Linked DNA regions of Callithrix jacchus. The protein of the gene in region 7 interacts with the protein of the main gene of each other region in a pairwise test. Links are inferred from orthologs where the notes say so. Each region holds a gene or a part of one and is shown on either strand. Other genes may lie near its edges. The genes, in order: PIMREG, CCDC102B, POLE2, POLR3C, TRIM29, RAB29 and TRIM27.

Region 1 (4,568 bases), on a different chromosome or scaffold from region 7:
AGGGGCTCTGTAGAGGAGTACGGGCTCCGGAAGGCTGCCTCCCGCCTCGACCGCCGTAACGGGCGGGCACATGAGCCCATCTGGGCAGAGAGGCAGTGATGCGCCTTCTCCCAGGGGCCTGAGGGTGAGTAGGCAGGGGTGGCTCCAGACAGCCGGGTGCTCTTCTGGCTCAAGCTGTGAGTTGGGGATCCACTACCCTTCTGTGCTCCTCTCTTCCTCCTCCTGGCCTTCACCTGGGTCTCCACCAGCCACTTGGTGCCACTTTGGCAGGACTCCTGGATTCTCTGGAATAGGCAAATGGAAATGTTAGCACAGACAAAACCAAGGGTGAGGCTGGGCGGCGGTGGCTCATGCCTTTAATCCCAGCACTTTGGGAGGCCAAGGCGGGCAGATCACTGGAGGTCAGGAGTTGGAGACCAGCCTGGCCAATGTGGTAAAACACTATCTCTACTAAAAATACAAAAAAATTAGCTGGGCATGTTGGCGGGCTGTATCCAAGAACCTGTAATCCCAGAATCCCTTGAACCCAGGAGGCAGAGGTTGCAGTGTTGCAGTGAACTGAGATCACGCCACTGCACTCCAGCCTGGGCGACAAAGTGAGACCCTGTCTTGAAAAAGCAAAAAACAAGGGTGAGCTACCACCACCCCTAGACCCAACAAGTGTCCTGTAAATACAGGCTGCTGTTAGTCTCCAGGGTGAGGGATGTGAATGACTCCTCGGGAAAGGACTCCATGGCAGGGATCCAGCTCAGAGCTTTTGGATATGACAGCAGCAGTCAGCAGCAGGATGACCTGCCCTAGTGCATGGAGCCTGTTTGTCTAACTCTCCTTCCAGATACAGATTGACCCAACGACTGTGGCGGGGGCGGGGCAGAGAAGAGCAGGCCAGCCTGCCTACCACCCCCTGCATACCAGGAGAGCATTTGGGTGGATCACGACGCAGTTAGGAGATCAAGACCAGCCTAGCTAACATGGTGAAACCCCATCTCTACTAAAAATACAAAAAAATTAGCCAGGAATGGTGGCACACATCTATAAGCTCAGCTACTTGGGAGACTGAGGCAGGAGAATCACTTGAACCCGGAAGGCGGAGGTTGCAGCAAGCCGAGATCACGCCACTGCACTCCAGCCTGGGCAACAGAGCGAGACTCCATCTCAAAAAATAAAAAAAAAGTTTCCAAATAAGGACTAACATTTGGCTCAGAGAGCTCTCTGCAGAGGGTCTAGAAACAGCCACCCTCTCCGCTCATCTTTGGAATTCCCAGTGAGACATCGAGGAGAAACCTCTGCAGTCTCCAGTCCTCTCACTGAAGGTCCATTCATCCTAATGGCTTCTGTCCTTTCTAAGTGACCCCTCTCTACCTCCAGCTCTGGGTTGAAAGATGCATCCCTTAAAGGGCCCATAGACACTTACAGCCAATATAAGGATGTCTTCCTGCCAGCACCTCTCATTTCACATTAAATCCCCTCTAATCAACCTTCTAGGCAGTTCCCGAAGTTTATCCCCTGCAAGTCCAGACCCTTAGGTCCCCCTTCAGGAGCTTCTCTGCTTCCATTCCCTTCTCCATTATGTAGCTAAAGGGCAAATTCTAACATGCTAATTAGACCAGACTTTCCATTGTTTTAGAATCCTATGGACTCCCACTCCTGATCACTCCCGGGAGAGTCTAAGCTCCTTTATATCCTTTCTCCCTGCTCTACCTTGCCCTGTGTCCTTTGCTCATTCCCACACTAAAATTCTGGCTCTCCTCAGGGGTCCATGGCTGAGTGGGCAATCTTGTTTTTCCTCAGCTCCTCCTGCTCCAGGCCTGGACTTGAACTATTTCCACTGCCTTAAATACCACTTGACCTTTGGCTTCCCTGGGTGAACTCTGGAGGCACCTCCTCTGGGAAGCCTTCACCAACTAAGCTTTCGTTTGGTGAGCCCTTGCTATTGGCCACTTGCTTGCAATTTCCTATCACATACAGCTCTTATCACCTGGTAGTGTGAGCATCTGTTTCCTCCAAGACATGCTTTCATTCATTCATTCAACTATTTGTTGAGCACCTATACATGCCAGGAACTATTTGGGGTGCTAGGGAAACAGCAGTGAACTAACCAAAGTCCCTGTCTTCATGGAGTCTATATTTTTGGAGGCTCTTTGAAGGCAGGAACTGTCTGGCACCAAGGAAACCCTTCATAAAAAAGATGGTTAGTATTGTCGGTATTACCTGGGACATTGCACCCAAGGCACTCTTAGCTGAGCGAGCTGCTGCCTGGAGGCCCTGCTGCCCTGGCTCTGGGGTTTCCAGACGTTTCCAGGAGGGGCCTGGGCGGAGGTTGAGGTTGACGGCTTTCAGGGGCAGCCTCCTTTGGAACTGTCTGCACAGGGACCCCAGGGCCCCGGAGGAGGTCTCCTGATGGCCGGCCACAGGCTGCAGCTCCTTGCTGTCCTCCAGCTGCTCTTGGTGCTGGAGAGATCTCCGGCGCACGGAGGTCCCCATGCTCTGCCACCGAGAAGCCATCTGCCAGGCCAAGTCTTTTCTGCCCACTACACCCTGGGGCGGAGGGCAAAGAGCAGGTCAGCAAGGCATTCCGCATCCCCATTCCCAGGCCCCACAGAGACCCTGGGCACAGGGGAGGAGATGGGATGCAGCAGGGTGGTGGGGAAGTTTGCAAGTGTGGGTGCAGAAAGGAAGATGCTTCCTGGAAGAGGGGTCTCAGGTCAGCAGGATTTCTGCTGTCCAGCACTTTAAGTTTCCAAAACAGCTGTCCTTTCATCCCAACCTCCTTCCTCTCTCTGCCTCAGGCAAGGAGGGGAGGCAGGATCAGGACACTCCAGAATCGAGCCTCAGCGCCGGGCCCAGGACACGATTACCATCTCCTTCACCAGCTCGGCCAGACCCAACGCACCACCGCCCAGACCCCGGCCTTCCCACCAGACGGCCCCTCGCCCTATTCCGATCCGACGCTTGAGGTACCCAGACGCACCCCCACGCCGTGCATGTCCGAACCTGAGGTCCTCCTGCTCTGAGCAGAAGCCCCACCACGGTCCCGCCCGCACTCACCAGACACCAACGCTGATCACACCCGAGCACGGCTGCTTCTCGCCCACTGCAGCCGATTTGAAACTCTGCGCGGCTCCGCCCCGGCCCGTCCTCCCAGCTGATTGGCTCCGTCCCCGTCCCCGCCGCCGGGCCGGGCATCCAATTGGCTCCCTCTCTAGCGGCTGCAGATGCTGCGCTCGGATTGGCCCAGGCGTCCCCATTCATTGCTCCGGCCCCCGCCCGGCCTCCAGCCTCGTGGCTCCTGGCTTTGTATCCCGCGTCCAGCCTTCGCGGGCCCAGCCCCCGCCCCCGCCCATCGCACGCCGGATCCCCTCCCAGGAGCGCGCAAAAGTCCAGGCTGCTCTGACCCATGGGGTGGAGGCGGAGGTCCAGCCACCGAGACCTCCTGGCTCAGGCTCCAGGCCCCGCAGCGCCAACCCGCCAAGGGGCCTGGCTTTTCCTTCTTGCTCAGTGGTTCTTTCAGAAAGAGCCAGGCGCTGGCAGCGCGGAGCCCTGGGTTTTCCAGAGACATTTTCTTTCAAATTTCCCTCCTGACCCTCCCTTCCTGTGACAAGACACTGCCCCTCTCGGAGTTCCCCATACTCGCCGTCCACACTCCGCCCCCCTAGAAAACGCGTCCTGGAAGTGGGGATAGACCAGAGGATACCAGTCTGCCCTCCTCCCGCCCACCCTGGCTCTCTGCCCGCGCCTTGCCTCTGGCATCCCTCCCTCCCTCCAGCGGAATGCCTGTCTCTCCTCTCCTTAGCATCCAAACAAAACAAGCCATTAGAAAGCTCTCTCCAACCCATCCTACTCCTTTCGGTGACCTCAAAGCAGCGCTGCCCACTCCCCCGGTTAGTTTCTTTGTTACTTCTCCCGCACAAGAGACTGAGATGATGGTTCCTTGAGGCTCTGTCTTCAACCCTCTTCGTTTCTGGGTGGTCTTACCCACTTTGACGTCAGTGATTTCCCCCCAAAGGATGATGATAAGGATGATGTGTATATGACACTTAGTATGCACAGGTCCTGGTGTTTCAGTTTATTAACTCATCTGACCCTCTGTTATGGTTTGACCATGTCCCTCAAATTGCAAATGTTGGAAATATAATGCCCAAATTCATATATGGGTGGCATTTTTTAGACATATAAATTGTTACTTATTCAAATTATACAGCACTGAAAAATAAGTGAATTGTAACCAGATCACTCTTATTTAGCTGTAACTCTGTATCTTTTAACAAATCTCTCCCATTCCTTCCTCCCACCTACCATTCCCAACTTAGGTGAATATCAGAAATATCATGTTAGATTTGAAAAAAAAGCAATATGCAGAGTATGACACCGTGTAAGTCAAAAGCAAAAAACTAAACAATATGGTTTAGGAATATACAGACACATTTGTGGACAAAGGTATTATGGAAAGCAAAATTATGTAAGCACCAAAATAAAATAGGTAGTCATTTTTGGAAGGGTGACAGGAGAAGAGGATGTATTGAGGGAAGGGCTCAAAGGACTTCAAAGGCAATGTTCCATTTTGTAGA
Region 2 (4,313 bases), on a different chromosome or scaffold from region 7:
CTGTATTAAATCAGGTTCTCCAGATAACTGATGCTTAAAATTTGAGAAGAACTGCTTAAAACTACACAATATCTCTCCATTAAAAACCATAAATGTATTTAGCTTTATTTATTTATTCTTATTTTGAAGCTTTTATTATTAGAGTCCACACACAGAAAAGTACAGAAATCCTAAAGGTACAGCTCAATGCATTTCGCAATGTGAACGTATCTTTGTAAGCAGCACACAGATCAAGAAACACGACATTTACCTGTACCTCGACTTTTAACACTATTGATTAATTTGCCTGCTTTTGAGCTTACGTAAATAAAATCATATAGTATCTTTCTTCAGTTTCTGGCTTCTTCTGTTCAACATTTAGTTTATGATTTGCAACCACACAGTTCTCCATACAAAAGTTCATTCATTCTCATTACTATATAGTACTTTACTACAGGATAACAACACAATTTATCTATTCTACTTTTACAGATTTGAATTGTTTAGCTTTTCACAATTGCAAACAGTCCTACCATAAACAAGACACCTGTGTATATGACTTTTGGAAAGCACATGTGTCTTACTTAGCCTGTTGATGCTCTGTAACAAAATAGCACAGACTTGATAAGTTATAAATAATAAACATTTATTTCTTAAAGTTCTGGAGGCTGCACATCAAGGAGTCAGCAGGTTTGATGTCTGATAAGGGTTTGCTCTCTGCTTCCAAGGATGGTACCTTCTTCTTGTGTCTTCATATGGCTTAAGGTTGAAGGGGAAAAGGGACTAAGATAATCCCTTTGGTCTCTTTTATTAGGTCTCTAATCACATTCATGAGCGTTCCACCTCATGATTAAATCATGCACAAATGGCCCAATCTCTTAATATTATCATATTGGCAATGAAGTTTCAACATATGCAATTTGCGATACACATTTAGACTACAGCCATATGTAGGCAAAATATATAAGGCATGTATCTGTACAAGTGTAGCTTATCTGAAAGTCTTTTTAAAGATCTTGTCAAAATAGTAGAACCTTTTAAATAACAAAAAAAGTGATCACCACTTGAGGTAGATAAGCAGGAAAAAAACACTTAAATTTTTGAACACTGAATATGTTTTAGCATATGGAAATTTAGCATGTTCTCTGAACAAAAGGCCTAAAAAGTCTATTGGTTTATTAAATCATTTTCACATTAATGCATAATTTTGAACATTTTCACATTGCCTGCAATGAAAATATCATGCAAAGCACATATGTCATTATAAATTTTCTTGGAAACACAGTGAAATATAAAAACAGGTGAAATTAATTCTAATAATTTATTTTATTAACTCAATATATCTAAGATATAGCTAAGCTATAGGCATTACAACATATAATCAATACAAAAATACTGAGACATTTAACAGTTTTATACTGCCTTCCAAATCCAGTGTATATTTTACATTTATACTATACCTCCTTACAACCTCCCTAATTTCATCAGAAATACGTTAATTGGTATTTATTTTATAGAAACATGGTCTAGCTCTGTTGCCAGGCTGGAATGCAGTGGCACAATCACAGCTCACTGCAACCTCAACCTCCCTGGCCCAATTGATCCTCCCACCTCAGCCTCTGGAGTAGTTGGGACCACAGGTGTGTGCCACCACACCTGGCTAATTTTTAAACTTTTTGTACAGACGGGGTCTCACTGTGTTGCCCAAGCTGGTTTCGGATCCCTGACCTCAACCAATCCTCCTGCCTCAGCCTCCCAAAGTGCTGGCAAACAGTTAAGAGCCACCCACACCTGGGAAATGATCAGTTTTTAGATTTCATAAAATTTACAGTTGAAAAAGTAGATTCAAATATCTCAGTTGTTCCAATCATATTAAAAAAACTTTCCAATAACTGAATCGAGTGTCAGTTTTTTTATTTCCTAAAATTAAAATTAAATATTCAGTTACTTCATGACACGGCATGTTTCAAAAGCTCAATAGCCACAGGTGGTTAGTGGCTACACTATTGAAGAGCACAGATCTAGGTTAACTGGTTTTTGTTGTTCTCCACATGCTAACTTAAACTGTAATGCAAATATGCAAAGAAATTATTTTATTTTGCATGCTGTGGAAGACAGAGAACTTTGAAATACATTAGAATGGAAAAACAAACTGAATATGGGTCTTTCAGAGATACTGCCAAGAGAGTAGAAAAGCTTCTGTAGAAGAGTATCAAGTCCATGGTACTATTATAAAGCTGTTTCACCACCATTGAGAGAACATTCCCGTCGCTTCAACAGTCCCCTTATGTTTTAGTCTTTTTCTTTAAAAAAAAAAAAAAAAAAAAAGAAAGGAAGAAAAATTGAATCTGCAGAGGGCTTGCACTGGATACCATGCTGTATGCCCAAAAGGGGTGACATTTAAGGCTTGCTCTCAATTAGAGTGTAATTTAATCTTCTAGTCACTAGGAATAACAATGTTTTAGAACATTTCCGCCTGTTGGAATTTTGAACCTAAGGTGAACCGGCTGACATCATAACTTACCCTTTCTGTTGTTCTCATAGGTTTTCAAAATTTGATCTAAATCCTCTGGTACCTTACGTCCCATAAAAATTTCATCTAATTCAGAAGTAGCGACTGCTGCAGTAACCTCATATAAAAGAAATATGGGTTTTACAAATCATTGTCCTGTAGAAAAAAAAAAACAGGTAGCAATATGAATATTTCATACTATTTTATTTAATTCCAAAGTAATCAGAAAAGTCATAAAAAATCCTAAGCCTAACTTTATGTTCTCAAGTTTCAAGAGAAAGTTTTTAAAGAGGCAATCCTTACTTTGGCAAAAGTGCATTAAAGCTTGCTGCATTTAAGAGATGTCCCTTTATGCAAACAGGTTGAAAGACGATTTCAAAAACGCTTTGGAAAAACACAGAGTGGCGCGCAGCTCAGCAATCCAGTCTTCAGGCGCGCCTCTTTCCACAAATTTGATCCAGCATTAAAACGCACAGGTGCACTCACTGCACGGGAGCAGCAAGCAAATGATGTGCCAATATTCATCCCGTAAGTGCGTCGTGGGAGTCTACCTCGCCTGCAACCTAACTTTCTCCAGTATTCACCTTTCCGGAAACGTGCCCCCGTGAACAACCACCGCTTTCCCGAATAAAGCCCGCACGCTGGGTTCCCACGCTCCTCAGGAGGGGCCGAGGGCGCAAAGGATGCTGAAGCACACGACAGCGCAGACGCTGCCCTCCCGGCGCATGCGCCGCACTCCGCGCATACTCAGAGACGGAGACCGGCGGGGTCCTGGGAGCTTAACGGAGGCCGGCCTGCCCCGCCCCCGTATTCTGAGCGGAGCTTCTCTTCCGCTCTGGGTCAGCTCCGCTTCCCTTTCCTGGCGGGAAGGCAGCGGACACCGGTATCTTTTCTCTCTATTGCACAGAGTCAGCTTCTGCAGCTCTCCCAGGCTAGCATGGCAGCCTGGAGGTGTCGGGCCGCCCTGCGGCTCTGCGCCACAGGTAATGATCGAGCAGAGGTCGCGACGCCGGCAGGCTCTTGGGACCTGGCCCGCCGTGGGGCCGGGATTGGGCCCGGGGCTGAGGCGAGGCCTGTGGGGTCCGCGGAGACGCTCGCACGGTCCCGCAGAGTCCTGCCGCCCCGCCACGCCGACCTGCCTGGCCCTGACGGAGTGGATACCTGGGGGTCTTTCCCTTGCCCCTGTGCGGGGCCAGTGCCGGGCGCGGGAAGGGCGCGCTTCCTTGTGTCTGTGTTTTCTTCATTGTGGCAGGAAGTTTCAATAAAGCTCACTCCTTTGATGGGCAAGAAGGATGCTGCCGTCCCAGCTTAACCGCCAGATCTTGCCTTGGCTTTAGGTTCTGAGTCTTGTCACGTTTAAGGCTTTTTACCACCAGGGCTCAGATCAGGGTCAGGCCACCGGGATTGTGCGGTGTGAAACACTCAGTGTGTGTCCGCTGTTCTCAGCTCCCTCTCTTCAGCCCTGGGTGCCTTCGTTCTCACTGGGGTCCGCTCACTTAGCAACCTTTAAGAGCCCATTCTGTGTCAGGCAATGCCCTGTATTAAGTATTAGAGTTGCAGCTCGACTTTGATTTGTTCTAGCCGTCTATTTCAGGGGAAATATTTTGAATGGCATTTGTAATTTTTACTGAAGAGATCATTGCTACTAAAACAAAAGAAATATAGAGGAATGCTGTCTGCCTGTATTCCAAAAAGACAGGATGGTAAAAAGGAAAAGTAAGGTGAGAGTTAAAATACGTAGGAAAAAGGAACTCTGTGTTTATTAGATTTATGGGCTTACTAGAACCTGGCCGGTCATGATATGGTTGCATACAGACTAGAT
Region 3 (3,862 bases), on a different chromosome or scaffold from region 7:
CCCGTAAAACCAGTCCTTGGCACCAAAAAGGTTGAGGACCACTGGGGTAGAAGGTCGTGGAGGTGGAGGTGTAGAGAGGTAGCACATTCTGGATGTAATCTGAAGTTAATAGGACTTCCTGAAAAACTTTATGTGAGAGAAACCCCAAAGTTTTTGGCCTGAACAAGTGGAATAATTATTGTTCAGGCCATGAAGATGCCATGAACTAAGATGGGGAAGTCTACAGACGAGGTTAAGGGCACTGGTGGGGAGGAAGATCAGGAGTTCACTTAAGTTAGGGTGGTGATAAGTAGGCAACTGGATACCTGAGTCTGGAGTTTGGAAGGAAGGTTGAGGTGGAAATATAAATGTGAGAGGTGTCAATACACAGATGATACTTAAAGCCATAGGACACTAGAGAAGGCCAGCAAAGGAGTGAATGTAGGCAGAAAAGAGAGGCGAACCAAGGCTGACTCTTATAGTATTCCCACAGTAAGAGTTTACGATTACAATGAGCAATACCAACAGTAAATAAGTAATCTTTGTATTCTTCCTTTGTAACTTTTCTTAAAGGATGTCTAATAAGAATATCTATTTTTAAATCTCTTTCCATTATTCAAGCTTATGAATTCATTACCAATAAATTAAATATAGTTAAAATATTTTCAAAGTTTTGAGAAACCTCCAATATAGAATAAATACAAAAAATAATTTTTTTGTATTTATTCTATAATAGTCAAAATTCAGAGACAGATTTTAGGAATCAAGTTAGTTTTTGTTTGTTTTGGTTTTTTGAGACAGGGTCTCGCTCTGTCACCCAGGCTGGAATGAAGTAGTGCATTCTGAGCTCACTGCAGCCTCTCCACCTACCAGGATCAAGCAATCCTCTCACCTCAACCTCTTGAGTCGCTGGGACCACAGGTGTGTGCCACCATGCCCAGCTAATTTTTGTATTTTGTAGAGACGGGGTTTCACTATGTTGCCCAGGCTGGTCTCAGAACTCCTGAGCTCAAGCGATCTGCCTGCCTCAGCCTCCCAAAGTGCTGGGATTATAAGCATGAGCCACCGCACCTGGCTGAGTTAATTTTTAAATGAAAGGAAAAATGTGTAACACAAAATACTAATTCTTACCTGCAAGGATTAGTAGTAAAAACTGAAAATGGTACCCTTTGTCTGAATTCATTAGTGATGCTTTCAGCAAGTGGTGGCCTAAAAAACCAATTTATGTGATATGGTTTATCTCTTTAAATTTTACAGAATTTTCTATACTGTTGCAAAAATTTGAACAAAACTTACCTTGGTAAGATGGAACCAAATCCAGGATCCTCTGGACCAGATACAAACACAAAACGACTACTGTAGCAAAATTCAACAGAATTCATTTTAAAGTATTATTGTAACACTATCCAAGGGCTTAAAAACAGTTTATTCCCTTTGTTTTCACTTTAAAATTTAAAAAGTTTAAATTTCATGCATTATAATAAACGAACTATTAAATCTCCAGACCAACACTGTTTAGTAATATGACAGCAAAGTTCTGTATCTGTACTGCCCAACTGAACACTTGAATTGTGGCTAGCATAGCCGATGGACTGAATTTTATATTTTAGTTAACTTTAATTAAACTTCAAAGAGACATGTGGCCAGTGACTATCATATTGGAGAGTGAAGCTCTAGACCCTTGGAGTAATGTCACAAAGAAATTCCAAATTATGGCTGAAATTATCTCTATCTCTTTCAGTACTTTTCATTATAAATCTCTAGTACCATGTACAATGTGAGGATAACTTTATCTCTTAGCTCTTTTAATTTTCTCAACTTTATCTTTCTTAGTTTTATAATAATTGCTGATAAAACAAAATTCACTTTTTTAAAGCAAAACTGTGAAAAAAATATATAGTGGTAGAGATCATTACCTTTGGTGAATATCTGGGTATTCACATATTATATCTGCCAAAGTTTTTAGGGAATCTAAAATTTTAAAAGAGTATTGTATTAAATTTGCATAGAATGCCATAAAAATTATATTTGATTAGATACAACTCTGTATATGCTGAATGAAATTAAAATATTATGGATAATTTCTTATTACTTTAGTTTATATGACTATAGAAACACTTCTTATTAAATTAGACCCTTAATACCTTTCAAAGCTTGAACTTGATTTTTTCCATATGGTGCAGATGAAAAATTACCACACAGAATAAAACAGGTTGGAGGTGCTGGTGAATAACCTAAAGAATAAAAGAGTAAAAGAACAATACTTTTCTAATCTACAAATCAAGTTAAAAACCCCTTAACCATGAATTTTTAATAAAAATTTATTATTTTAATGAAAATAACATTTTCATAACATTAAAGTAATAGAAATAATAGTACCCAATTATTGAGTACTTACTATAGGCCAGGCCCTGCACTGGCTTAATTCATCCTCAGAACGTCCATATAATCTGAGACTTGGGTTAAGTAACCTGCCCAAGGTAATAGGCTCGCACTTAAACCCAGGTTTGTTTTTGCTTTTGTTTAAAGATGGGGTCTCACTATGTTGGCCCACTGGTCTTGAACTTCAGGACTGATTCTTATTTATCATGACTATAAACACACACACACACACACACACACACAGGTTTTTCTCAATGTAAAAATTTTGGTCTTTAAAATAAAATCTAATTTAAATTATATCATTGCTAACCCAGTGTAGTTTTTTTTTAAAATAGAATACTCAAAAAGATAAATGTAAAAAAAGAACTTAGTTTTAAGACATGAACCCTCATAAGAGTTCACGAAAGAAAAAAAAAATAAGACCTACCAGAAAACATTATGCGAAGTTTTTCCAGTACTTCCACTTGGTCCAACCAAACATCAGATAAAAACACAAACATAGCATCTTTATTCTCCTCTTCTAGTTGTTTTAGTTTTGCAGAAGTCTTCACAGATGTATTAGAAGGCCCTCCAAAAAAATTAATACTTCCATAGTATGCCCTAGATAATTATAACATAATTAGCTTCTGTATACAACTAGAGATATTTTTCTAATAATTTTATAAATTTAGCTCCTTTTATCTAATGAAGTTATTTTCCAGTGTAAATAGGTGAAAATGTACTCTTTGTAACACTTTAAAAGTACAAGGTTATCGAAATATTCTAAAATAAGAAGCAATACAGAAGCAATAAATAAAATATTTAATAGGCTATATCTGTTTCTTAAAACTAACTAAAGCAAACATTAAAATAATAATTTCCTATGTTGCTGAAAGTAGGAGAAATGAGTACACCATTTGAACGATATCTAATAGAAACCTCAAAATATGTGTTAACCATCTATCCAAGCAATTCCACTTCTGGAATGATTAATCCTAAGAAATTAAGGATATACACAGAGACTAACCTATATTCCAGAACTGTGAAAAAATTATTCGACAGTTCCTTCAAAGCTCGGTTTTATTCAATGCTCACCAAGCAAGGGTCAGTAGGAAAGTGGATAATATACACACTCCCAGCCTCCACCACTTCTGCCCACTCTACACTGACATCTTGCAGTTCCCAGCTTAAATGCAAATACTCCAGAGGCCTCCTCTGAGGATCCCAAAAGAGGTTAGATTTCCCCATTATACACTCTTGTAGGAACCTGCACTTCTCCTTTGCAGATCTTATCAAATTTGTAATCAGGCCAGGTGGGTGGCTCACACCTGTAATCCCAGCACTTCGGGAAAAGCTAAAAAGCTCTTATTTCCTGGTGACATCTTAGCTGTCAAAATGTCCTAGTACCACATATTACTGTCTTTGTAGAGACGCTGGTGTATACAACATACTTAGGCAGCGGGACTGCTTGAGGTCAGGAGTTCGAAACCAGCCTCACCAACATGGTAAAAATTCACCCCAT
Region 4 (2,760 bases), on a different chromosome or scaffold from region 7:
ACACTTTGCCCCACTTTTTCACTGGAGTCCTGTGGATCTCATGTAATGCTGCTCTTTACCCTAAAATAACCTACTGTTTAGTTCCTAGTGATGCAAATTAGCCAGGCTCCCTAAAGCCTTTGCTTACAAATGTAGGAACTATGGCACTCAGATGAGGTCAGCAGTTGGTGATGACTTACAGTTACCAACCTGTGGAGCTGTGGAAGAGTTTTCTTATTACTGTTCCTCTCTGGTCCTGGTTCCACACATGGGATAGAACACCGCCCCATCTATGACTGGGAACTAAAGCTACTCTCCTGTGTTGGCATGCCATTTGCTTTCTTCATTCTTTTCCAGATTTGGGTCTCGCTGTGCTAGAATATTCCGTCTAGTTTTGCAGAAGAAACACCTGGAGCAGAAGCAAGTGGAAGACTTTGCAATGATTCCTGCAAAGGAGGCAAAGGATATGCTATATAAGATGCTCTCAGAAAATTTTATATCACTCCAGGTAACCAAGGGTGTAACAACTGCCAACCAGACAGGCTAGCCTAGGGTGAGAGAAGCTTCTCCGGCAAACATACTGAATCCCAAGCAAACTCTATATCCAGCTCTGAGACAGAAAACATGATTCACAGAGATGTAGCAAGCACTTAGAGGAAGATGTGGAGCCTTAATTGCCCTAGTAAGAAAGAGGCAGCTGGGCACAATGGCTCACGCCTAGAATCCCAGCACTTTGGGAGGCCGAGCCGGGCAGATCACTTGATGTCAGGAGTTCGAGACCAGCCTGGCCTACATGGTAAAACCCTGTCTCTACTAAAATACAAAACAATTAGCTGGGGGTGGTGTCACGTGCCTATAATCCCAGATGCTTGGGAGGCTGAGGCAGGAAGGAGAATCTCTTGAACCCAAGAGGCAGAGGTCGCAGTGAGCTGAGATTGTGCCACTGCACGCCAGCCTGGGCAATAAAGCAAGACTCTGTATTAAAAAAAAAAAAAAAAAAAAAGGTTTTTTGTAAAGATCATATAGAATTTACCTGGTACACAGATTTTTCAGTAAATATTAGTTACCTTCCCTTTCTTCTCCATTCAGGATGCTGACAGTCAAATGGGAAAAAAAGAAAAACAGGGAAGCCCAGCTCTCCGTTTAATTAATTACGACATAAACCACAGAGACTGGGCTGGGCACACCTGTAATCCCAGCACTTTGGGAAGCCAAGGCAGGAAGATCACTTAAGCCCAGGAATTCAAGACCAGCCTGGGTAATATAGTGAGACCATGTCTCCTCCCCCGCCAAAAAAATTAAAAAATTAGTTGAGCATGGTGGCGCATGCCTGTAGTTACAGCTGCTCAGGATACTGAGGTGGGAGGATTGCTTGAGTCCCAGGTAGAAGTTGCAGTGAGCCAAGATCGCACTGCCACATTCCATCCTGGGTAACAGCAAGACCCAGTCTCAAAGTAAATAAATAAACACAGGTACTGAATGACTAGGAAACATGAAAATGTAAGTGAAAAAGAGAGTTGAGTAAGTCCAGATGGAATGAGTGTTTACCTTGCCAGTTCCAAAACAATATAATTTGTTACTTTTTTTTTCTATTGGACAAATAGGAAATTCCCAAAACACCAGACCATGCCCCATCCAGGACCTTCTATTTATATACTGTGAACATCCTGTCAGCTGCCCGAATGTTGCTGCACAGGTGCTACAAGGTAACCCAGTCTGCTGCCTCCACATGGACAAGTCCCCCTCATATGCCCATTTCACCCATTTTACCTGAGCTGCTGAAATTGAACTATGTGCATTTCTTGTCTGTCTTCTCTTTCCTCAGAGCATAGCCAACTTGATAGAAAGGAGGCAATTTGAAACCAAAGAGAACAAGTAAGTAACATTTTCAGTTGAGTTATTTACATTTTTTAAGGTCAACGGCCTGAGGGGAAATTTCCTATAGAAACAGGAACCAATGAAGGCTGGGCCAGGTGCAGTGGCTCATGCCTGTAATCCCAGCACTTTGGGAGGCTGAGGCAGATGGATCACTTGAGGTCAGGAGTTCAAGACCAGCCCGGCCAACATGGTGAAATCCTATCTCTACTAAGAATACAAAAATTAGCTGGGCATGGTCATGGGCCCCTGTAGTCCCAGCTACTCTGGAGTCTGAGGCAGGAGAATTGCTTAAACTCAGTGAGTGGAGGTTGCAGTGAGCCACTCCATGCCACTGCACTCCAGCCTGGGTGACAGAGTGTGACTCCATCTCAAAAAAAAAAAAAAAATTCTGAGGAATAGGAAACAATGGAGATAGCAACCAGTGTCCTTGCATTGAATCACTGGCTTAGATTAGTATAAATCATGCATAGGCTACACTTTTCTAATACGCTCCCAATGAAATAGTTTTTTCAGATTAAATTTATGAGAAATGTACAGAAGCACCAAACTTTAAGTGCAAATGAGAGGCAGTAAGAGTTTCACGAGTGAAGTTATATTTCCAAATAAGTTTCTAGAAAATGTCCTTAGAAGGTGACATCTACTTTGACCAGGAAAATGGTAAAAGAGTGATGGGTTGTGCCTCAGAGATAAATGCTAAGAGAATCTCCAAGGTTAGGAAACATGTCTCAGAGTTGTGTTTGTTTGACAGGCGTCTACTAGAAAAATCTCAGAGGGTAGAGGCCATCATCGCATCTATGCAGGCTACAGGTGCAGAGGAGGCACAGTTACAAGAAATAGAGGAGATGATCACAGCTCCTGAACGTCAGCAGCTAGAGACCCTGAAACGTAATGTCAACAAGTAAG
Region 5 (4,594 bases), on a different chromosome or scaffold from region 7:
AAACTTGGTCACATTTCCTAAAACCTTGTCTGAGGCTCTGCAGTTTCTCAGCTGCTGTGATGAGGAGGACGGCCCCTTGTTCTGCATAACCTCACAGCAAAGCTCTCTAAGAATGAGTTTCAAGGCCCCTGTCCCATCTTTGTCTCCCAACAAAGCTTGAGGCCACGCTGGGGTCAGAAGATGGGAGAAGCTGGAAACATCGTCTTCCTGGGCCAAACAAGGCTTCAGGAAGGGATCTGTACATCTGTTCCCCTCTCTACCTCCCCCCTTTCTGTCCAGATGGGCAGGGTGTGGGTGAGAGATGAAGGGAGAGAGGATTAAAGGAGCAGCTCCCCCTGATCAGGAAGGCTGGGCAAGGAGGAGTCCTGCGCTGTTCAGATCTGCGGTGTGCAGAAGCTCTTCAGAAAAGCGGAGTCCACTGCTTTAAAGGCCAGGAAGGTTTGCCCCCTGGAAGGCCACACCAGAAAATTATGTACCTTAGGGTAGAGTGACCCCCTCATCTGTGGGGCACAGGGCAGTGGCCACAGCTGGGGTCTCTGTCCAAATCACCTTCCCCAGGTATGCTACATCCACAAGCCTGCACTCGCCTCTGCTCCTTCCCATAGAAGTGCATGCACAGTCACATACACCAAACTCATGCAAACACACTTACATATCACATAGACAAATACAGGCAAACATCCACAAAGGCACAAAAACACCCACGTGCACATAAAATACACACATATGCAGCTCCTCAACTTCTGATGGGGTTATTTCCCAATAAACCCATTGTAAGTTGAAAATGTGATAGGTCAAAAATGCATTTAATAACCCTAGACTACCAAGCATCATAGCTTAACGTAGCTTACCTTAAACATGTTCAGAGCAATTGCATTAGCCTACAGTTTAGCAAAATTTTCTACTACGAAGCCTATTTTGTAATAAAGTGTTGGATTTTATGGAATACTGTACTGAAAGCATAGCACTTTCACACCAACATAAATCGAACCATCCTAAGTCAGGGTTAGCTGTAAATGTACACACCATCCACACACAAACTCCAAACCTCCCCAACAGTGTCCAGCTATAGGAATAGGTGTGTCCACACCCAACCACACACGCGAAACGCGGGGCCCAGCTGAGAGACGGATAAAGGAGGCTGTGGAGAAGTCAAGAGACCAGCTGGGGATCCGCTAGAACAAGCAGCCACTGTAGCACAAATAAAAACTGCAAAACAGCAGAAAGGACATTTTGGTGGGCCCCAAAATTCTCTCCTTCTGGTATCTTTACTCACCTACAATCCATTCCTCAGGAGCCAATCCCACTCAGGTTGGAGGAATTGTCTCTTCTTTAAAGCCAAAAAGAAAGAAAAGAAAGAAGGAAGGAAGGAAGGGAGGGAGGGAGGGAGGGAGGGAGGGAGGGGGAGGGAAGGGGAGGGAGGGAAAGAAAAAAAGAGAAAAAATAAGAATAAGAGGAAGGAGACAGAGAAGAAGCGGGGGGGGGGGGAAGGAAGAGGAGGGAGAGGAGAAGAAAGAGAAGAAGTGAGAAGGAAAAGGAGAAGGAGAAGGGAGGAGGAGAAGGAGAAGGAGAAGGAACACCCAGCCAGGCACAGAGCCCAGGAGTGAGTTATGTGCCATTGGGTCTTACTCTCTGACCCAACTTGAATTTATCCTATGACTTTGATCAGGCCCCCAATCTTTTCTGAGTCTCCATCTGCTCATCTAGAAAATACCCCTGTCTCCTGAGACCTTAGGGGATTGGAGAGCCACCTCTGATCCCCAGCTGGGGTTAGGGGCAACAGGGGGCATGAAGGGAAATAAATGTTTACTAAAAGAGCCAAGGACAGTAGAGGTTTAAACCCCAAACACCAGGAAGCCCCATTGGAGAAGATAAGGTAGGAGGGTCAGGGTGAGGGGAGAGGCCAGGAGGGGCAGGAGGGGCCCAGCACGCACCTCTTTCTCGGCCTTGGCCTCCTCCACTGTCACGGTGCTGTGATTCTTGTGCTCCTGGAACATGCAGAGGTAGCAGATGCAGGTCTGGTCAGTCTGGCAGAAGAGCTCCATAGTCTTGCCATGCATGGGACACTTGCGGGCCTCGAAGTCCCGGATGGGCTCCAGCAGCTGGTGGTCTCGGAAGGCGGCGCCCTCCAGGTGGGGCTTGAGGTGCAGCTCGCAGAAGGAGGCCTGGCACACCAGGCAGGACTTGACCGCCTTCTGCTTGTTGCCAATGCAGGAGTCGCACAGCACCTCCTCGGAGCTGGACTTGGCCGGGGAGAAAAGGCCCGTGTCTGCCCGGGGGTAGCTGTTCCGCCGCGCCTCCCCGGGCTCCACGATGGACACTGAGGGCTTCCGCGGCTCCGAGAAAATGGACTTGCGCAGCTCGCCTTTTTCGGCAAAGGTGACGGGCGGCTTCTTGGCGGCCCCCAGCTGGAGCCCTGCGTACGGTGACCTCTTGCCTTCCAACGAGTCCATGCTGAAGTAGTTGGAGTTCTTGTCGTCGCCCGACTCGACAAACTGGATAATGGGTCGCCGCCACTCATTGCCCGCGAACAGGGCGCTCCTCCCTTCCCCTGGCTTCAGGGCACTGCCCAAGCTCTTGCCCTCGGCTGCCTCCCCGCTGTGCCCGTTGGTGGTCTTGGCATCCTTGCCGTCGGCCTTGGTGCCATTCTCCAGGCTGCCATTGGGACCCGACGGGCTCCGAGCATCCCTGGCTTCCGGGCTCGACCCGTTGCTCCTGGAGGCATCAGCAGCTTCCATCGCAGGGGGGCTCAGCTGATCTGTTTCAGGCTTGCTGGGGTTCAGGGTAGGTGACCTTGCTGGCGGGTGTCTCGGCAGGGAGTGGGGCAGGCAGCCGCAGGGCCCAGAGACACACCTGTGGGGAGGAGGAGGGGAAGGAGGTGGAGGGGAGGAGCAGCAGGTACAAGCCTGACACAACGGGCCCAGGGAGAAGCAGGCAGCCCCGGCAGCCAGCAGAGCAGATAATTACACGGGAGCCACGCCCTGTACAGTCATCCCTAACCTGATTTTTAAAAGAAGTGTTTTTTTCTCCCCCAGCTTAATTATTTTCCACAACTCAGCAACCAGTTGGGCTGCTTCCCTCTGACGCACTTGCTTCTCATCGGGGGAGCGGGGAGCCTCTGTCTTCACAGGTGGGCAGGCTTCACTGAGCCCAGAGGCCCCTGGGGCAGAAGATGAGGTGTCTGCAGAGGCCTACGGGGCACAGGGCTGTTAACTGGGTCACACAAGTCAAATAGCCTTGTAATTTGCGGGCCTGAGTTTCAGAAGAAAGATGGTCCACCCTGGGACTGTGGAGCTGCTTTTCACCACAAGCAGGGAGGATGGGTTCCGTTTGATTTGGCTACTGGTTACTGAACCCTACTTGACAACCTCCAGGCACATTCCTAGGTACTTAATATATATGACCTCATTCGAGCATCCCTAAAACCTGTTCAATTACCCCTTTTTAATAGATGAGAAAACCGAGGCTTTAAGAAGATAACTCACTGCCTAAGTCAAGTGGCAGAGCTGGGATTTGAACCCTAAGCCTTTGAGATGCCAAAGTCCCTTCTGCAGCTGGGAGGTCATGGAGTTACCTGAATATCTCACCAGAAGATGGCTTCTGAGAGTCTGACCTATCCCAGTGGCCCTAATAAGATACATGTAGACCTTAGATTATTGCTATCAGAGCAGGCCAGACCCTTCATGGATTCAAAGGACTGAGGCACGGGAATAAGGGAATCCAAGCAATGCCAGGCCAGGTGGTTGGGTTCTCAGGGCCCAAACACTTGACTCACCTGTCTCCACACTTGCCCTTCTGTGTGACTCAGAAAACATCTGCCCATCCTCTCTGGGCCAGGCCACAGGCAACGTCCTCCAAAAAGAGGCCAGTGAAGTGTGGGATTCAGATAATCTCAGAAGTCACCGGTTCAAATATGACTATCATATAAATACAGACCTCAGGAAGAAAAGTGAGGAAAACAAATGCTATCCCCTTCCCCTCCCTGGCCCCTGCAGAACACCAGGGACCCTCAGCTCTTGTAGGATATGCCCCGAAAGTCACTTCTGGGCTCTGACCCACTGGCCTCATCCTGGGAAGCCTCCAAACCCCCAAGGAAAGGGCATGCCTCTCCAGGGCCAGGCTGGGTGGGGCAGAGAAGACAGTTGGTGAGGCTGGCATGGCAGGTTCTGGGCTATGTGGAGGGGAGTGGGTTTCCCGTCCTTCACCTCAAATCCAGGTCAAGTCAGGAAGCCCCCGCCCCTTTGGCTGACCAGACCTTTAACAAAGGTAATCCTTTGTAAAAAACAGCCCCTGGGAAAGAGGGCAGAGACAAGCCCAGCTCACAGAGCAGCTGAGTTCTGAGGGGATGTATGTGGGGTGGTGTTGGCATGGGGAGTGCTGGCTTTATGACGGGGATTCCCCTCTTACTTGAGGTCTCTGTCTGTGGCCCCAAAGGAGCCCTGTCTTGTGTGAACTCACTGGTGAATTGGCTAAGAGCTCATCGGGCCTTCTGGGGAGGGGAACATTTTCTCAAAATGCCAGACCCAATTTCTCTGGGCTCTTGCCTGAGGTATGGAGGGAGAAGGAGGGAGGGAAGTCCTGTCCTGGCATGCTG
Region 6 (4,458 bases), on a different chromosome or scaffold from region 7:
CCAGGAAGTGGAGGTTGCAGTGAGCCAAGATTCAACCTGGATGACAGAGTGAGACTCTGTCTCAAAAACTTGAATAAATAAATAAAAGAGTATAAAGGGACATGTATAAAGGAAATAATAATGCTCAGAATCTGAAGTCTACATGGAGGGAAGAAATGATGAGTCCAGTGACAGAAATAGGGAAGCTGAGAAAAGGAGCTATTTTTGTGGTGATGTAATAAGAGGGAGGATGTGACCGGACATCCAGGTGAAGGCATCTTTTGGGAAGCTGAATATCACTGATCGAAGATAAAGAACAAATAAAGTGAAGATAGATCTTTCACACCAAGGACAATTCACTCAAGAGTTTGTAGAATGATTGTCTCAGAGACCAAGAATCAAGCTTTAGGAAACACTTAGAGGGAAATGGGATGGAGAGAAACCTCAGAGAAAAAGATAATCATCAGAGAAGTAGGAGGATGAAAAAGAAAGAACAGTGTCCTAGAAGGCATATGGGAAACAAATGTCAAGGAGTGGTCAGCTATGTCAAAGCAAATAGCAACAGAGAAAACTGGATCCTTAAAGGTGAGTAGCCTGGCCTAACCTCCTGTGCCTGGGCAACAAACATTCTGGGCAAAATATATTGTGGACCATGCTCATGCTCTTTCCCCACAGAACATAAGTGATAGCCTCTCTATCAAGAGACCTAAGCAAGACTCCATAGTGTCTGGTCCTGGGCTGTTCACATGGCCTTGCTGGTTCTCTTCCTCAATTCCTAGAAAAAGTATAGAAAATGGAACTCTCTTTGCTTGCCATTGAGCTCATGTCCTGCCAACTCCTACCTAAATGACAGGCAGGTCAGTAAAGTTACAGGCTGAGAAATTAGAATTATTTGTCAAACCCTAGTTTTATGATGATCTGTTAACAACAGCCACAACAAATCAGCGATTCCCAGTGTATTTCAATTAGCTTCTAGCTCAAATGATACATGAATAGCATGGTTAGAACAGGCATTGTAGAAGTATGAATGGGGACTGTCTTCTGTTTTCTGTCTATCTTTATTGTTATTGCTGGATATTAAATGCTGTAACTTTTGGCATAGGTTTTTCCAAGGAATGGTCTCTTGGGTCAAATTTCCCTGATCTTGCCTGGTATTGGGCACGTTCATACGGAAAATATGATTAATTTCACGAGGTCCTGGGCTTGTCTGTCTATTTGAAGGAATAGGAAATGGACTTCACTTGGAGCATTATCTATGATGCTTGGGCTTTTATTAATGAAATAAGTTTTAATCTTAACTACGCAAAACCTTTAAAGACAGGAGAAAACTGTCTGGGGACAGATTCAGGCCAGTGAGATCACGTTGCACAAATCTCTTAAGGGATCTTTACTGACCCAGAACCGTTTCAAAATAAGATTCCGAACTGTTGAAGGAGTTTGAAGCCCTGAAACATTGTGTAGGTTGGTTTAAAACAAAAAAAATGAATACACTACATTTCCTAGGAGGCTTCGCGGGTAAGCCTCTGCACTCGGCTAGTTCTCTCTACCGCGAGGATAGTTGGGAAATGTAGTGCTCCAGGCAACCCTGCACGTGACGCTTGCGGAGGAAGGCGAGAGAGGCGCGGGAGGGGGGTCAAGGGAATCAAGGTGCCGGCTGCTTTTTCCTCACAATTTGATTTGTGCAGCAAGGGGAGGGTCCTCATCATCTGGCCCCAGTGGTGTAATGAGCTGACTGGGATTCAGTTGCTGGCTTGGAGCCGCTCCGGGGAAGTCCCGGTGGGTGAGGTTCCGCAGCGCCTGGTCCCGTTTCTCGGCAGTCGGGTAGGGGGGTAGGGGGGAAGGTGCGAACAGCCGGGGCACGGAGCTCGCGCCCTGCGCCCCACCCAGGTTGTGGCTGCCCGGGGAGGAAGCGCACATAGGTTGAGTGCAAAGTTTCCTTTTTTGCTTTCTCGTCAGAGCAGCCCTCACAGGCGGTGGGTGGGAATGCCTCACTTCAGTTTGAAGAGGGTCCGGAGCCAAAGGGGTTAAAACAAGCTACTTCCCACTTTCCGCCTCTCTAAAACGCACACTCCGCTAGCCATGGGCAGCCGCGACCACCTGTTCAAAGTGCTGGTGGTGGGGGACGCCGCAGTGGGCAAGACGTCGCTGGTGCAGCGATATTCCCAGGACAGCTTCAGCAAACACTACAAGTCCACGGTGGGAGGTGAGACGTCTCTGGGGGGAGGAGTCGGAAGAGGCCCCGACCGCGGACTCGAGCTGGGGACCCAAGTGGGATGGGGATTTGCAGTCGGTTGTTGGGTCCTTCGGGCCAGGAAGTAGTGTCTGGGAATCTGGATGGAGTAATTGTTGGGTATTTGGTTTACACGCCTCTCTTGGGTTTCCCCAGTTCGATTTTCCTAACCTGAACCTACTGCCTGGAGAAAGGTAAGAGCTAAGGAGTGACGATGAGAATAGGGAAGGGAGGCTGAGGATGAGCAATTGCTGTTTATTGCGAGCTCACTGTGAACGCAAGTCTCCTGCCTCAGCCTTTCAGCTGTCAGGGGCAAATCTCTCCAGTCAGCAGAAGCAGCTGAGATCCTCTCCTCTGTAGGGCCTCCTGGTTAGCTGCAGTCTGGGGCTGTTGTCCTGCCCCTCTCTGTTGAGGAAGGAACCGCAAGGTGTTTAACCTGGCTTCTGGGGGAGAACGCAGGAAGCAGAAGTGGTCGGAAGAACTTTAGCTCAGTTATGGGGCTGTGGGTGGGATGGAAGACACAAAATCCCCAAACAGGCTCCTTGGCTACGCAGTCAGATGCCCGTGAGGGCTGATGAGCTGTTTTTGTCCGTTGATTGCTTAAATAAAGGTAACCAAGGAAGTCTTCGAAGAATGTGAAATATACCACTTCTCTGATCTATCTTCCCACCACTTTTCCCCTCAAACTGGAGAAGGTAGGGAGGAAGGGAACACCGTCATTTCTTTCTCGGGCGTAGCCTTTGGACTCAACTGTTTTTTCAGAGGTAGAATTGCCTTATTGTTAATTAGAAGGTATTTAGCTAGAAAGAGCTGGTGATGGGGGAAGAGTAACTTAAAATTTTATTTAGGCCTGGCGTGGTGGCTCAAGCCTGTAATCCCAGCACTTTGGGAGGCCAAGGCGGGTGGATCACGAGGTCAAGAGATCGAGACCATCCTGGTCAACATGGTGAAACCCGGCTCTACTAAACATACAAAAAAATTAGCTGGGCATGGTGGGGCGTGCCTGTAATCCCAGCTACTCAGGAGGCTGAGGCAGGAGAATTGCCTGAACCCAGGAGGCAGAGGTTGTGGTGAGCCGAGATCGCGCCATTGCACTCCAGCCTGGCTGCAAAACTCCAGCCTGAGAGCAAAACTCTGTCTCAAAAAAAAAAATTATCTCTGTTAAAATAACTTAAGGGGAGGAAACTTGTACTAATGGAAAAATTGAAAATGTGTGCTCGTGTTCATATGGAAGTTTAAAAAGAAATTAACAAGCATTTACATTGCAACTGAAACATTCTCCTTAAGAACCCCCAGCAGGGCTGGGCACAGTGGTTCACTCCTGTAATCTCAGTACTTTTGGAGGCCAAGGTGGGCAGATCATTTGAGGCTAGGAGTTCCAGACCAGACTGACCAACATGGTGAAACCCTATCTCTACTAAAAGTACAAAAAAATTAGTCGGGCATGGTGGCACACGCCTGTAATCCCAGCTACTTGGAGGCTGAGGCAAGAGAATCTCTTGAACCCGGGAGGCGGAGGTTGCAGTGAACCAAGATCGCACTACTGGACTCCAGTCTGGATGACAGAGCAAAGACTCTGTGTCAAAACAACAAAACAAAAAAACAGTAGGGCCCAGTGAGGTGGTTCATACTTGCAATCCCAGCACTTTAGGAGGCTGAGGCAGGTGGATTACTTGAGACCAGCCATGGGAAACATGGCAAGACCCCACCTCTACAAAAATTAAAGAAAAAAGTAACTGTAGTCCCAGCTACTCGAGAAACTGAGGCGAGAGGATTGCTTCAACTCAGGAGGTCAAGACTTCATTGAGCCCTGTTCACACCACTCACTGCACTGTAGCCTGGGCAACAGAGCAAGACACTGTCTCAAAAGCAAAAGAATAAAGAAATTTACGTCCGGCAAAATTAAAGATTTAACGTTTCAGACGCTCTATCTTGACCACTCAGCCCTCCCACTCCTAAATAACATAAGGTCCCGATTTCACAGATTTGAGTTAAAAGTGTCCTCCTATTAATAGTTAATTTTTAATAATTGCTATAGTTTTCCTTTAGCAAAGAACATAATTAACTCTGGCTAATTTTTTTTCAGTGTTTATTCTAAATTTCCCTTAGCTTTGATTCCTGTCACAGATGTGAAAGATAATGTTTCCAAACCTCAGTAATTACTGTTTCTCTCCTTATCCAAAAGCTTTCCCCGCAGAATACTCACCCAGCCTTAACTCAAGGAGTGTCAGCATTTGCAGACTTGGTGG
Region 7 (4,364 bases):
GAGATCGAGACCATCCTGGTCAACATGGTGAAACCCCCTTTCTACTAAAAATATAAAAATTAGCTGGGCATGGTGGTGCGCGCCTGTAGTCCCAGCTACTCGGGAAGCTAAGGCAGAAGAATTGCTTGAACCCAGAAGGCGGAGGTTGCAGTGAGCCGAGATCGTGCCATTGCACTCCAGTCTGGGTAACAAGTGAAACTCTGTCTCAAAAATAATAATAATAATAATAATAAACTTACTTTCACTTTGAAAAAATAAAAATAAAGTGATCATCTGGAAGCAGAAGCCTGTCTTGCTCAGACAGCAGGATAATTTTGAGAAAAATTTCAAAGAAAACTAGGAAACGCCAGTAAGGGATAAGAACGTAACATAAAAATGCTGGCGGGGGCCGGGCGCGGTGGCTCACGCCCATAATCCCAGCACTTTGGGAGGCCGAGGCGGGTGGATCACGAGGTCAAGAAATCGAGACCATCCTGGTCAACATGGTGAAACCCCGTCTCTACTAAAAACACAAAAATTAGCTGGGCATGGTGGCGCGTGCCTGTAATCCCAGCTACTCAGGAGGCTGAGGCAGGAGAATTGCCTGAACCCAGGAGGCGGAGGTTGCGGTGAGCCGAGATCGCGCCATTGCACTCCAGCCTGGGTAACAAGAGCGAAACTCCGTCTCAAAAAAAAAAAAAATGCTGGCGGTCTGCGGCCTCCAAGACCCTGGGTCGATGCCTCAGAAAGGAGCAAGCAATTTGTAGTTGCTACTCAGCACAACAACCCTATGTAGTGGGCATTTTATTACTATTTTAATGGATAAACAACCCTATGGTACAAAAAGTAAAAGATGTAAGGAAATGTACTTCTTACTGCGGTACAATTATCCCCATTTCACACGGGAGAAACTGAGGTAAATGAATGGTAAACCAACTTGCCTGAGCACAGGAGAGAAGTAGCAGAACTGGGCTTGTTATTGCAACACAGAAACGTTACCGTCTGATATCTAAACGAAACTGCAGGTGCCTACAAATGGGGCTGCTTAATAAAAGGCCCCACGTCTCAGGTGGGCTAGTCCGCAACCCTCATCCTCCAGACTCCGGGGGAGGCCAGATGTCTCCGTTCGTTCCTCGGCATCCACACAAAGCCTGCTTTCTTCTGCAGGGCTGGGACCCAGGCACCAAAAGGAAACCGAACAAAGACTCGGGGCCCGGCCCGGCAGCCGCGGAAGCCTATAGGCCCGGAGCGCGTGGCCAGGAGACCCGGTCGGCGCCGCGCCCGGAGACAGCGCCGGCTCTCGGGCCCCGACCCCTAGGCTGGAGCTTCGGCGCGACCGGGCCAGGGACCGCGGCAGAGCCTCCTCGGCCTTTCCGAGAAGAAAATCCCAGGCCCCGAGGCCACGAAATCTAGCCTCTCACTGGGAGCGCGGGCCAAGCCCCGCCCGCCGAGCCGCCTCTTCCGCTCGCGCCGGGGTGGGGTCTGCGCGGCCGCCGGGACCCGCTTCGGACGCGGCCACGTTGTCTTGCGCGCCTGCCCCTGGGCTTCTGCCCCTCGGCGACCCGGCCCTGCCCCGGAGCGTGTTCGCGCCTTCATCGGGGGCCCCGGCGCGGGGAGCGGCGCGGCCACCTCGAGTCTTCGCGGCGCGGGCGCGTCTGGATCCGGGCCCGGGAGGCGCCGCCCTCCGCCCGCCCCGCGCCTCCCGGGAACGGCGACCGGAGAGCGCGGGAGAGTTGGGCGCGGCGCGGAGCTCGGTCGGGGCCCATGCCCGTGCGCCCCGCAGGCCCCGCCATGGCGTCCGCGAGCGTGGCCGAGTGCCTGCAGCAGGAGACCACCTGCCCCGTGTGCCTGCAGTACTTCTCCGAGCCCATGATGCTCGACTGCGGACACAACATCTGCGGCGCGTGCCTGGCGCGCTGCTGGGGCGCGGCGGAGACCAACGTGTCGTGCCCGCAGTGCCGGGAGACCTTCCCGCAGCGGCACCTGCGGCCCAACCGCCACCTGGCCAACGTCACCCAGCTGGTGAAGCAGCTGCGCTCCGAGCGGCCGGTGGGCCCGGGCGGGGAGATGGGCGCGTGCGAGAAGCACCGCGAGCCGCTGAAGCTGTACTGCGAGCAGGACCAGACGCCCATCTGCGTGGTGTGCGACCGCTCCCGCGAGCACCGCGGACACAGCGTGCTGCCGCTCGAGGAGGCCGTGGAGGGCTTCAAGGTGAGCTGGCGGGGCGGGCGGCGGACAAAGGGAGGGGGAGAGCCCGGGGCGTCCCTTTTCCGCCCAGAAAATGGCTGAGCCGGACGTGGGGCTGGTTCGCAGCCGTCATTTCCTCCCCGTGCGCCCCGGAGCCTCCGCGCTCGGATCTGGAGGAAAACCTGTGGCTGGCGAAGAAGCCACAAGTCCCCCCACCCCCACTCTCCTCGCTCCGTGTGCCCCCGAGTTTCCTGCCTCGCGGGCGCGTTGTACACGGAGACCTTTTGACAGAATGAAAGAAGCGCATACAACCCGCGCACATCCGCAAGCTGGGGACACGCTCCGCTCCCACCGGCTCGCAACAAAACGCGCTCAGACGTTCACTGACTCACGGCCATTCCTTAGTGTAGAAGCATTTTCTCTAGCACTTTCGTTCAGTCTGCCCGGCTCTAGAAGCTCACGGAAAATAACAGCTCTTTGGTGCTTGAGTAAGTCGTTTAACTACTCTAGGACCCAGGAGATAACACAGTCATGAGGAAGAACGTGGAATCACAGGACGCTCAGAGCCCTCTGCTAACCGGCACAGCTAAACAAACAGTAACGTGCAGACAAAGTGTTCCAAATAAAACACTTGTAAGGCGCCCTTCAAGGAGTCCATGACACAATTATTTGTATCTTGAGGGCTTCAGTAATGCATACACAATTATGTCCCTGTTTAATGGGAGTACATTCATGTGTAATCCCTTAACATTAATGGACCTTTCAGCTATATTATTTCACTCACTGGTGATACATCTTGAGCAGGTTGGGAAGATGGTGTTTGCCCATGTCACACCTGAGGAAAATAAGTCACCTTCGCAGTATGCCTGTGAGGAAAAGCTCCAGTACCACACAACTCTCAGCCTCCTGCTCCAGTCACATTTCCGCTAAGTCATGCAATATCCGACCAGGGACAGGTAGATGACTCATTGTTTAAGATAGACACAAATAGTCCTGACGCAGTAGCTGAGTGGTTGAAGCCACAGGCTGCTTAGATAGACACAAAATGCCAGAGGCGAGGCTTGATGGCCCCTGTGCCCTGGGTCTTAATCTTGTGGGTGGCACTGTGGCCTGAGGACAGGACCAGACAGGACTTGGCATCAGGTGTGTGGACTCCATCTGTGATAAGAATGACCATGCTATTGGGTGAGGTGGCTCACACCTGTAATCCCAGCACTTTGGGAGGCTGAGGCAGACAGATCACAAGATCGGGAATTTGAGACTTGCCTGACAGACTTGGGGAAACCATCTGTACTCAAAGTACAGATATTAGCTGGGTATGGTGGCACGTGCCTGTAGTCCCAGCTACTCGGGAGGCTGAGGCAGGAGAATCGCTTGAACCTTTGAGGTGGAGGTTGCAGTGAGCTGAGATTGCGCCACTGCACTCCAGCCTGGATGACAGAGTGAGATTCCGTCTCGATGACCATGCTGATGCTAAGGTCTACTTAATTTTGAACTGCCATCTGTTTTGCTTTTCTCAGGAGCAGATTCAGAACCAGCTGGACCACCTTAAAAGAGTGAAAGATTTAAAGAAGAGACGTCGGGCCCAGGGGGAACAGGCACGAGCCGAACTCTTGGTAAGGGTTGTCCGAATTCACAGTCGCTTCTGCTGGTGCTCCCCTCTTCTGTAGAGCTGTTACTTCCCTTAAACTTCTCCAGCAAGTCATCCAGAACTTGTAGGTAGAGGTGGATCAACCGCACATGGCGGGGGATCTCACCCTGAGAACTGAGAGATTCCCTTACTTTTGGGGAAAGGATGGAGGAGCCTAGTTTGGAACCCCTGGAAACCAGACCTGTCAATAAAGCTTAACCTGCTAACTGCATAGACCACGGTTGATTCTTGGCAAAACTGACATAGATAACTTTATTGGGTACAGTCAGCTCCCTTTGTTACCATTCTGCAGACGTCCTGTATAAGGCCCACTGTTGCTTCTCTCTGGGTTATTCTCCTTGACAGTGCCTTGATTGTGGAGTTTTTACTCTGTTCTCTTCTTCCAGCCTCAAGGCCTTGACAAGTGGCTGATGTGTTAATTCATGATAGAGGTATTTAGGATTTTTTTTTTTTTTTTTTTTTTTTTTTTTTTTTGAGACAGGGCCTCACACTGTCACCAGTGCAATGGCAAGGTTTCGGCTCACTGCAACCTCTGCCTCCCAGTTCA

The links.
Region 1: the proteins of TRIM27 (region 7) and PIMREG interact in binary tests that used the Homo sapiens proteins (3 or more experiments, as listed by UniProt). The two-hybrid records come from large-scale screens. The link is inferred for Callithrix jacchus from reciprocal best matches to the Homo sapiens genes TRIM27 and PIMREG.
Region 2: the proteins of TRIM27 (region 7) and CCDC102B interact in binary tests that used the Homo sapiens proteins (3 or more experiments, as listed by UniProt). The two-hybrid records come from large-scale screens. The link is inferred for Callithrix jacchus from reciprocal best matches to the Homo sapiens genes TRIM27 and CCDC102B.
Region 3: the proteins of TRIM27 (region 7) and POLE2 interact in binary tests that used the Homo sapiens proteins (3 or more experiments, as listed by UniProt). The two-hybrid records come from large-scale screens. The link is inferred for Callithrix jacchus from reciprocal best matches to the Homo sapiens genes TRIM27 and POLE2.
Region 4: the proteins of TRIM27 (region 7) and POLR3C interact in binary tests that used the Homo sapiens proteins (3 or more experiments, as listed by UniProt). The two-hybrid records come from large-scale screens. The link is inferred for Callithrix jacchus from reciprocal best matches to the Homo sapiens genes TRIM27 and POLR3C.
Region 5: the proteins of TRIM27 (region 7) and TRIM29 interact in a two-hybrid assay, tested with the Homo sapiens proteins (2 studies listed by BioGRID and IntAct). The link is inferred for Callithrix jacchus from reciprocal best matches to the Homo sapiens genes TRIM27 and TRIM29.
Region 6: the proteins of TRIM27 (region 7) and RAB29 interact in binary tests that used the Homo sapiens proteins (3 or more experiments, as listed by UniProt). The two-hybrid records come from large-scale screens. The link is inferred for Callithrix jacchus from reciprocal best matches to the Homo sapiens genes TRIM27 and RAB29.

The regions. Positions count from the first base shown.
Region 1 is NC_133506.1:107,999,905-108,004,472, reverse strand, and holds the start of PIMREG (protein PIMREG), read right to left. Parts: upstream 3,099-4,568; 5' UTR 3,049-3,098; intron 2,539-3,048; 5' UTR 2,506-2,538; coding exon 2,212-2,505; intron 285-2,211; coding exon 1-284. UniProt on the Homo sapiens protein: During mitosis, may play a role in the control of metaphase-to-anaphase transition.
Region 2 is NC_133514.1:111,379,993-111,384,305, reverse strand, and holds the start of CCDC102B (coiled-coil domain-containing protein 102B), read right to left. Parts: upstream 3,152-4,313; 5' UTR 3,076-3,151; exon of another isoform or gene 2,795-3,075; intron 2,648-2,794; 5' UTR 2,522-2,647; coding exon 2,504-2,521; intron 1-2,503. UniProt on the Homo sapiens protein: During interphase, forms fibers at the proximal ends of centrioles to maintain centrosome cohesion. During mitosis, dissociates from the centrosome following phosphorylation to allow centrosome separation. Contributes to CROCC/rootletin filament formation.
Region 3 is NC_133509.1:84,151,146-84,155,007, forward strand, and holds part of POLE2 (DNA polymerase epsilon subunit 2), read right to left. Parts: intron 2,962-3,862; coding exon 2,789-2,961; intron 2,214-2,788; coding exon 2,124-2,213; intron 1,951-2,123; coding exon 1,896-1,950; intron 1,336-1,895; coding exon 1,276-1,335; intron 1,189-1,275; coding exon 1,111-1,188; intron 1-1,110. UniProt on the Homo sapiens protein: Accessory component of the DNA polymerase epsilon complex. Participates in DNA repair and in chromosomal DNA replication.
Region 4 is NC_133519.1:8,270,228-8,272,987, forward strand, and holds part of POLR3C (DNA-directed RNA polymerase III subunit RPC3), read left to right. Parts: intron 1-336; coding exon 337-487; intron 488-1,583; coding exon 1,584-1,685; intron 1,686-1,804; coding exon 1,805-1,854; intron 1,855-2,605; coding exon 2,606-2,755; intron 2,756-2,760. UniProt on the Homo sapiens protein: DNA-dependent RNA polymerase catalyzes the transcription of DNA into RNA using the four ribonucleoside triphosphates as substrates.
Region 5 is NC_133511.1:19,784,274-19,788,867, forward strand, and holds the start of TRIM29 (tripartite motif-containing protein 29), read right to left. Parts: upstream 2,822-4,594; 5' UTR 2,739-2,821; coding exon 1,935-2,738; intron 1-1,934.
Region 6 is NC_133520.1:33,292,977-33,297,434, reverse strand, and holds the start of RAB29 (ras-related protein Rab-7L1), read left to right. Parts: upstream 1-1,560; 5' UTR 1,561-1,626; exon of another isoform or gene 1,627-2,056; 5' UTR 2,057-2,058; coding exon 2,059-2,182; intron 2,183-2,195; exon of another isoform or gene 2,196-2,403; intron 2,404-4,458. UniProt on the Homo sapiens protein: The small GTPases Rab are key regulators in vesicle trafficking. Essential for maintaining the integrity of the endosome-trans-Golgi network structure.
Region 7 is NC_133505.1:2,069,879-2,074,242, forward strand, and holds the start of TRIM27 (zinc finger protein RFP), read left to right. Parts: upstream 1-1,458; 5' UTR 1,459-1,743; coding exon 1,744-2,190; intron 2,191-3,686; coding exon 3,687-3,782; exon of another isoform or gene 3,783-4,364. UniProt on the Homo sapiens protein: E3 ubiquitin-protein ligase that mediates ubiquitination of various substrates and thereby plays a role in diffent processes including proliferation, innate immunity, apoptosis, immune response or autophagy.